Linked DNA regions of Bombyx mori. The protein of the gene in region 2 interacts with the protein of the main gene of each other region in a biochemical or structural test. Links are inferred from orthologs where the notes say so. Each region holds a gene or a part of one and is shown on either strand. Other genes may lie near its edges. The genes, in order: ubiquitin-conjugating enzyme E2 G2 and E3 ubiquitin-protein ligase MARCHF6.

The links.
Region 1: the proteins of E3 ubiquitin-protein ligase MARCHF6 (region 2) and ubiquitin-conjugating enzyme E2 G2 form a complex in vitro, tested with the Homo sapiens proteins (2 studies listed by BioGRID). The link is inferred for Bombyx mori from reciprocal best matches to the Homo sapiens genes MARCHF6 and UBE2G2.

Annotation. Positions count from the first base shown.
Region 1 is NC_085107.1:15,234,799-15,239,366, forward strand, and holds the start of ubiquitin-conjugating enzyme E2 G2, read left to right. Parts: upstream 1-1,604; 5' UTR 1,605-1,996; coding exon 1,997-2,042; intron 2,043-2,112; coding exon 2,113-2,194; intron 2,195-2,359; coding exon 2,360-2,478; intron 2,479-4,568. UniProt on the Homo sapiens protein: Accepts ubiquitin from the E1 complex and catalyzes its covalent attachment to other proteins. In vitro catalyzes 'Lys-48'-linked polyubiquitination. Involved in endoplasmic reticulum-associated degradation (ERAD).
Region 2 is NC_085117.1:16,844,622-16,849,194, reverse strand, and holds the start of E3 ubiquitin-protein ligase MARCHF6, read left to right. Parts: upstream 1-1,739; 5' UTR 1,740-2,001; coding exon 2,002-3,078; intron 3,079-3,698; coding exon 3,699-3,950; intron 3,951-4,242; coding exon 4,243-4,443; intron 4,444-4,573. UniProt on the Homo sapiens protein: Endoplasmic reticulum membrane-associated E3 ubiquitin ligase that plays a critical role in mitigating endoplasmic reticulum stress, the regulation of cholesterol and lipid homeostasis, and ferroptosis.

The DNA.
Region 1 (4,568 bases), on a different chromosome or scaffold from region 2:
ATTGCACCTATAATTGAGGTGATGTCTGCCATGTACTTTTGTCAGTTTTTCAATTTTTTTTATTGATGATCACTTTGTTGGTGCAACTAAATAAATAAATAAATTAAAACTATATATAAAAATAAAAGTAGTGCCAACCCTAGCAAATTTCTCATTTCGTCCCAATTAACCGCAATTTTCGGGTAAATAGGGATTACACCTATTTTTGCATTTTTTGCTTAAACTGGAATGCTAGTTGCATAATTTTAAATTAGACAACAAAGATGCCCCCAAGACTCAATCATTTTGATCCTGATATAGCATTATATACATCAACAACTACCTTAAAATTGCTCATAAAGTTGGAATTTGTCCCGAATCGCCCCATTTTACGGTACACAATGTAAATAAATTTGATTTTCCTGAAGTAACAATCTAAGGCGAAGACAACCATAGACTAAATAAAGATATTAAGCTCTTAATTAATTGCCTTTATAAATATGCACATGATGGCGTCGCGAAGCAATCCAAAAACGTGAGATTTTTATTGTCTTACATTGAATGTACATATATAACGCAAATGACATTGGTAATGTTTTTGCGTAATAATTTTCATTAAGTTAAAGTGATGGTCTTAGAAGTCACCAACACTGTTGTTGTTATAGTTCTAGGGTACCCTGCTGGTACAAAGGGCCATCACAAGCTGTCTCCACTTGACCCTGTCTTGCGCTTGCTCCTTGATATCACTCAAGGTCATACCGGCAGTCCTCGTTCTCTACGGTGCGTCAATAAGTATACTTAGGCGACCAGGTTTTCTCCTGCCACGGGTTGCCACTCAAACACGATTGATGCTGCGTTGACTCCGCTGCGCTGTAGAGCGTATCCTATCTATGCACGTAGCCATTTCCAGTGGGCAATGTCTTGCGCTATGGGGGTTTTTTGACATTTTTAGTCCAGAGGTCTTTATTAAAAATAGTGAAAATAGTGACTAGCCAGAATATGGAGAGTATCGACCTCAAGCACCTATTTATGAAACCAATGGTAATATGTAATATTATAAAACAGAACCTACTTATCTCTATTTTCGATAGCAATTTCCTTAAGAACAGTTGTTGTAGGTTGATAATACTGAGGACGATATCGTTATTTTTTAATTTTTACCGTCACCCAATGAACATAAAAATAAAAGATCGTTGATGAATAAAAAGTCACGATGACAATCTTTAGGACTTTGTTTACAAATACAAATATTTGAATAATATATTATTTCTTACCGAGTAGTATAAAAGTGTATCCGATTCAAGTATCTTCTTCTCATTTCAGTATAGAAATCGGATTCTTTTTAAATCATTGTAGCTAACGTCGAATTTATATTTTCTTCAACTTTTATTAATCTTATACAAATTTTTATGAAAATTGAAAGAGGGCACAATGAATTGATGTGCCTTATCAGGTTTTTCCAAGCAGTTAACTGAAGTATTAATAAATTCTAACACTTTGTCCCTTTTTAGGGAAATTATTTCATCAATTACGTCTAATGGTTTTATCTAATAAACATGGCATCATCCTTCAGTTGCAAACAGCTAGGTTGTTTGTGATTGTTTCCTTTGCCGGTATATTAGAATATTCCAACGATAAAATCTGAATTCTGATGACAGAGTCAGACAAATCAGAGGGAAGTCAAAAACAGGGTACAATACTTTGACTTCGTATTTTTAACCAGATTAAGTTTCCATTGAAATACGTTAACAATTCATCAAATAAAAACCCCAGTTTAATCCCAGAAAAAAAAAGAACGATAAGACAAGTATAAATAGTACTTTGAATAATTTCACTGGGCATTAAAGCGTTCTCTGTCGTCCTCATTAACTGCATTGGATTACATTAACTGTTAACTTTATTCTCGCAAACTGAGATCATTCCGTGCAGTATATTGGTTATTCAGTGTGCTCTCGAACGCCACTGAGTAAATTTTTGGCCCCAACGTACCATTTTGTCATTCAAAATTACGGACCAAATGATGGCTGGTTCTGCATTGCGGAGGTTGATGGCAGAATATAAGCGTATGTAAAAAGTAATATTTTTTTTGCATTCATGTAAATGTACGTAATTCTAATAGCTTTACAATTTCAGAATTAACAGTAAATCCGCCGGAAGGTATTATAGCTGGGCCTATAAATGAAGATAACTTCTTCGAATGGGAAGCCTTCATAACGTAAGTAAATAAACATATTTTCAGTAGTATACTTTATATTTCAGCTCTGATATCTTTCCGTTGGTATAATTTAAGTCTAAATTACCTAACAAATGTATATACTGGTGTTTTTACAATTTAATTTTCTTTGAAAAAAAATGCTGCTTTATTTATTATTTATTACAGAGGTCCTGAAGGCACGTGTTTTGAAGGTGGCATTTTTCCAGCAAAATTAGTCTTCCCACCTGATTATCCATTGAGTCCTCCAAAGATGCAATTTTTGTGTGAAATGTTTCATCCGAACAGTTAAGTATGCAAAGAGATGTCAATGAATATTTAGATTAATATTTTAATAACGATTAATATTTAGATAACGATTAATATTTAGATAATTTATATTACATACCTTAGGTATTGGAATATAAAAACAATAATGAAGTTATTATGACTAGTTTTACAGTTGAATTTCACATTTTTTATTGTCATTTGTTTCTGATATTTCAAATATTTTACAGTTTTTGTGGTCTAAGACGACTATGGTGTTACTTATCAATATTGGAATATTGTGGTTATGATATTTGGTGCTTATCTAACTCCTGGGATCCTTTTAGCGTTAAGATGAAAACCTAAGTCAAACAAACTGCCAAATCTGGAAATACTATTACAGTCAAAATCTGTTATAACGACATCGAAGGGACTGCTCATATTCAGTCGTAAAAACCGATAGTCGTAACAACCGGTAATGTTTAATGTGTATCGTGCAAGTACAAACAAATCGATAGGGAATTATTGGAAAAATATATTTACAAAATACGCGATTTTTCTTCAATATTAATTTGTTTTCTTTTTCTTTGCGACATTTTGAAAGTTTCACGAATAACTCCACAAAGTTTTGGTGCGTTTTGTGTATAGATAAGTAATAAACTAACTGTAGAGATATGAAGAAGCGGTTTTTGACCTACTGCATGCACGTGTTTTGTTTCTAAGAATTAGAAAAGACCCTACACTAAACTAAATCCTATTGTTTTCTTTCCTGATTTTAATAGCCATTGAAGACAAATGTGGATACCTATTCAAATTGTTTACAATACAGCTTAGCCGGTCGTTCTAACAGATCTAATTCTCCGAAATATTAGTTAAATGTGGTCGTTTTATGAGGTATGTCGTTATAAGCAATGTTGTATAAAGCAATGTTTTTAATAAGGCGGTCATATGGCATTCAGCGGGGACCTTTGTTCTAGGTTGTTATAACCAGCATGTTGTTCTAAACAATGTCGCCGTAAACGGTTTTGACTGTAGTTCATTTTGTGTGAAGTCAAATCTAAAAGTCTAGAAATATTTTTTATAGATAAAATAGTTGTTACTATAATATTCAAAATCAACAAATAACACCTTGGTCATCTGTAAACACAAACACAAGATTAAACAGAAATAAATAGTCTTAATTAAGTCTACAACTTGTAGTAACTAAAGAAACAAGTAGTGATTATGAATAGTAATTTGCTAGGCCATACAGCCTTAACTCAAAATTATTTTAAGTAGGCATTCTCTGATGCCTTTAAATGGTTAAGACTAATATTATGAGCCTGATCCAAAATTTACTATCACATCTGAAAAGAAGTGTTAAGTTAAGTGGTTGGCTTTCTATGCATTCTGTTCCTTGCCAGAAAAAAATTACATATTATTATATGAATATGTAAATATAATAAAATTCAACACTACTTGGTTTTACCATTCACATTTTCTTTACAGGCTGTAAAATCATCCCTATTAAAGTATTTTTAATTTTAAAACCTCTAAAGTATAAAGGCAAAAAAAAGCCTTTGGGTTTTTTGTTATAATAGGTTATACCTTGCTCAAAGAATAAAGAAATATTTGGACATTTGTAATGCTTGCGTACATTATTAAAATGACTAATAAAGTATTCCATAATCCAGAATATAAGTAATTCATATAATAATAACTGATCAAATTTGACTTTGACTCACTGGTGCGGTAGTTAGCAGTCCTTACTGTTGCACCAAGGGTTGTGGGTTTGATTCCCACATCGGGCAAACATTCGTGTGATGGAGAGGTTTGTTTGTTCTTTTTCTGGGTGGTTATTATCTATATATGTATATATTTAAATGTACCTAAGTATTTATGTCAATTTCTGGTACCCATACCATGGGGAATCCTAATTTTGGGCCAGATGACTGTTCGTGATATATTCCCAGTTATATATTTATTTATTCCTCTGCAATGTAAGGTCTTCTGCATAGTATGAATGACCTGCCCTCTGTAACATCCTCTGAGACAAGTTTGACAAGGTTTTTGCTATCTGGACTCGCTAATCTCAAAATTTCAGTATCTGAATTGTCACAACTATAATGTGGTCTTAAATTGATTTTATAAG
Region 2 (4,573 bases):
GTAAACCCTGTCCCGCCGTCTCAATAACTCCGACTGGGTTCCCACCCGGTCCGGGGTAGGGCGCCGGCTGTGAGCGGCAGGAGTTTTTAGTGAGGTTCGACTCCCACATACCTCACCTGCCGTGCGGGTGGGGATCCGGCGATTTTCTCCTGTGGAAAAAAAAAAAAAAAGTCCATAAAGCTAAACATTTTGTTTTCAATCATTTACAATGTTTTTCTCGTATGTTTCATATAATGTAAAAGAAATCATAAAGATTAATATCATTTTTGTATATTTTTATCGCGAGAGCTTTGGCATATTTATCACGAGGATCATTGGATGTTGAGCATTAAGAACTATTTCTAGATAGATACTGTTTGCAACAATCAATTACTTAAAATATTAATAAGGCTGATTTTAGTTGTCTTATTCTTCTTCACGAATAGGAAACTCTTGACAGAGTGGTCGTGGTCATGCATCAGTCGGATCCTGCGATACCGATTCTCTCGCGATGCGACGCCATGTGGCACGATGTTTCGCAGAGTGAGAGCAATCATTTATGTTGGAGCGAGTCAAAGATTTTGTATGGTCGGTCCATCGTGTTGGAGATCGTCCGCGAGATCTTTTGCCCTCGACTTTCCCTTGCACCACCAACCACTCAAATGGAGTCCTCATTACGAGTGATGTGCCCGAAGAACTTGAGGATTCGTATTTGGACTGTTGACGATAGTCTCTCCTTGATGTTGAGCTCTTTCAGGATCAAAATGTTGGTATGGTGCGCGGTCCACGGAATTCTGAGGAGACGTCTCCAACACCACATTTCTAGTGCGTCAATCTTACGACGGTCTTACATCCTCAGCGTCTACGTCTCAGCCCCATACAGAAAGATTGAAAGACCAGGCATCTCATTAACCGAACTTTTGTGTTTTTGGTTATTCTGCGGTCTCTCCAAATCTTTGTTAGCCTCTCAACTGAGGATCTTGTCACGGCGCAACGTTTTCGGATCTCATCTTCGCAGCCTCCGTTGGTGATAGTGGAGCCTAGATATACATAACTATTAACTACCTCGCATCCCGCTATATGTTGGACTTCCGGTTGGTTGATGTTAGCACGATCTACGATCATCATTTTGGTCTTATCACGATTGATCGCAAGTCCAAAATCCAACGCTGTGGTCTCCAGCCGGCGAAGAAGCACCTCGATTTCGTTTCTGGTTGACGCCAAGAGGGTAGTATCATCGGCGTATCTCAAGTTTGATATTTTCCGACCACCAACGGATTTTCCTTTATCCCAATCTTCAAGAACTATGCGCATTATATACTCTGTGTATATATTAAATAAAAGAGGAGATAGTATGCAGCCCTGCTTAACGCCTGCCTGTGTGCTGAAGCGTTCGGAGTCAATACCATCAACACGAACAGCGGCCGTGCCATCTTCGTACAGACATCTGATGGTGTGTACAAGATGTTGCGGTACACCCATTTCCGTCAGTACCAACCACAGCTTCCACCACTTGACGGTATCAAAAGCTTTTCGGAAATCCACGAAGCACACATATAGGGTAATATTAAATTCTCTGGCCTTTTCGACAATTTGCCGCATTACGAGTAGTTGCTCTCTTGTGCCTTGACCACAAGAGTTGTCTTATAGAAAAACTGAATTTCATCTATTTTTTAATTTACAAAAATTAATATTATTTGTGTGAAATTGTTATAATCCACAAGAAAGCATTGAGTTTTCCATGTCCAAAATGTTTTCTGAAATTGGCAGCACTGGTTGCTGCTGTCAAACAAAGAGAAAATGTAATATGTTCGGTACCTACCTACCTACTTACAAGTTTTTCTATCTTCGATAAAAAGTGTCGTCAATTTGTGTTTTGTGTTGTTTTAGAGCAGGGTTTCGCTCTGTGTGGTGTCATAACTATTAGTTACAAACTCAATAAATATCTTTATAGAAGAATTCCAAGCACCAGATTTTGTTATTCGACAGTGTTGATCAAGTCTACAAACTGGATAATAGATAATGATGGACTCGGACTCGTCCGGCGCCGACTTCTGCCGGTTTTGTCGCTCGGAGGCAACGTCGGATCGGCCTTTATTCCACCCTTGCATCTGTACCGGTTCGATTAAATGGATCCATCAGGAATGCTTAGTGCAATGGATGAGATACTCTCGGAAGGAAATCTGCGAGCTTTGCGGACATCGCTTTTCTTTTATGCCGATATATTCTCCGGACATGCCTCGCAGGCTGCCTATCCGCGATGTAGTGGGCGGCCTGGTGATGTCCGTTGCGTCAGCCGTAAAGGACTGGCTCCATTACACCCTGGTGGCTTTAGCCTGGCTCGGTATCGTACCGCTTACGGCTTGCAGGACATATAGGTGCTTGTTCTCAGGCTCCCTGGGACCAGTTATTTCCTTACCATTTGAGATTGTTTCTGCTGAGAATCTTGCCAAAGATGTTTTCTCAGGATGTTTTATTGTGACATGTACACTTTTCTCTTTTATTGGACTTGTGTGGTTGAGAGAACAAATAATGCACGGTGGAGGTCCAGACTGGATGGAAAGAGAAAATATACCAGTTCCCCCACCAGAGGATTTTGTACAGCCTGAGAATAATAATGAAAGAGTTAATGAAGTTGGAGGGGATGACGGTGGAGCTCGTGAAGAAGGTAATGGAGTTGGTAACGGTAATGGTGAAGGAGGTGGTGAAGAACCATTAGTGGGCGATGAAGCGAATTGGAATCCAATGGAATGGGATAGAGCTGCTGCTGAAGAATTGACATGGGCCCGACTATTAGGTCTTGATGGGTCCATGGTCTTTCTAGAGCATGTGTTTTGGGTGGTATCCCTCAACACTCTGTTTATAGTGGTGTTTGCATTCTGTCCTTATCACATAGGACGACTTGGGGCTGCCTTAGCAGGATTAGCAACAGAAGGTCCTTATGCTGGACCTTTGACAGCACTGGCTGGCTATGTGTTAGTTGGTGCAATACTTGCCGTACTTCATGGCTTAGCTGCTCTGTTTCGGCTAAGGAGTGCCAAGAAAGCACTAGGATTCTGCTACGTTGTAGTCAAAGTTGCACTGCTTTCAGTCATGGAGGTAAACTTGCAGCTATAATTATGATATAAATTATTGATAACTAAATTAAAATTACATTTCCAAATGTGTTTTTAGATTTTTATCTTTCAAAAAAGATATCAATTGACTGCCAAATACAACTTGAGTGTAGTAATACGGTTATTGTTATTTACTCATTAAATATTATCCTATTGTTTTTATTAAGGCCAATGAACCATAATAACATCACTCACAGCCAATATAGACAGTTGAAAATGGAAAATTTTATAATAATATGCTTTTTTTAGTCTAGGAGTTTTAAGTTAAGTTGTTAAACAGCAGATATAATCATCATGTCATTAACAATATCATTAACTGAGCTGTTTTGAGTATGCATATTATATGCACAATTGAAAAGTAAGCGTGATCGTTTTCATTGTTGCAGGTGAGAAAATATATTATAAGCACTAGGCATAAATCAGAAGCTCATAGATAACATAAATTTGTGACTTTTAACTTTGATACAGAAAGCATAGTTAGAATAGCTGTTCCATCTTTCAAACAGGAGCACATGACAGGATGGTGATACCTCTTCATGCAGCCTGTACATCCTGCCCGTAGGAAAATTCTGAATTAACGTTTGCATATTTCTTACTTTGCAGATAGGTGTGATCCCTCTAATATGTGGATGGTGGTTGGATCTCTGTTCTCTCTCCATGTTTGATGCGACACTCAAAGACCGCGAATCAAGCCTTCAGGCGGCTCCCTGGACATTGATGTTTATACATTGGCTTGTCGGAATGGTCTATGTGTACTACTTTGCGTCATTTGTGCTGTTACTAAGGGAAGTGCTGAGACCGGGAGTGTTATGGTTCTTGAAGAATCTGAACGATCCTGATTTCAGTCCAGTGCAGGTTTGTTATTCCAATTTTAGCAAATTCAAAGTATCAAAACATTCTATAATGAATTGTATCATAAAATTATCCTGAAATGCTCTTGAAATAGCTTGATTGATACTTTCTCGTTTGATTTGTTTGAGAGTTTGATTTCGAACTCAGGTTCAAGTATTCATATACAAATTAAAAATGTTCAGATCATTGCTTATTATTAGGTTTCAGTTTTCACAAATTGCAAATAAGACAAAATGTGCACAATACAAAAAAAAGTACTACATAATGCAAAAGTTAATTTGACAATATTTTTTAGGAAATGATTCACTTGTCTGTCATGTGTCACATCAGAAGGCTGGTGTTGTCAGCCATGATCTTTGGCTCGGCAGTACTATTCATGCTTTGGATGCCAATAAGGGTCATTAAATATGTGCTGCCCGGTTTCCTGCCATACACTGTCTCCGTTCATTCAGAAGCCCCAGTCAATGAATTAAGTTTGGAACTTCTTCTGCTTCAGGTAAGATTTAAATATGTTGTATGATAAATGATATGTTTTCAGTGTAATGTTTTAAGGAGGTTTAAATAAATATGGTGACTAATTATTTTCAGTAATTAGAAACATTTTGAAACAAATAGGAATAATATCA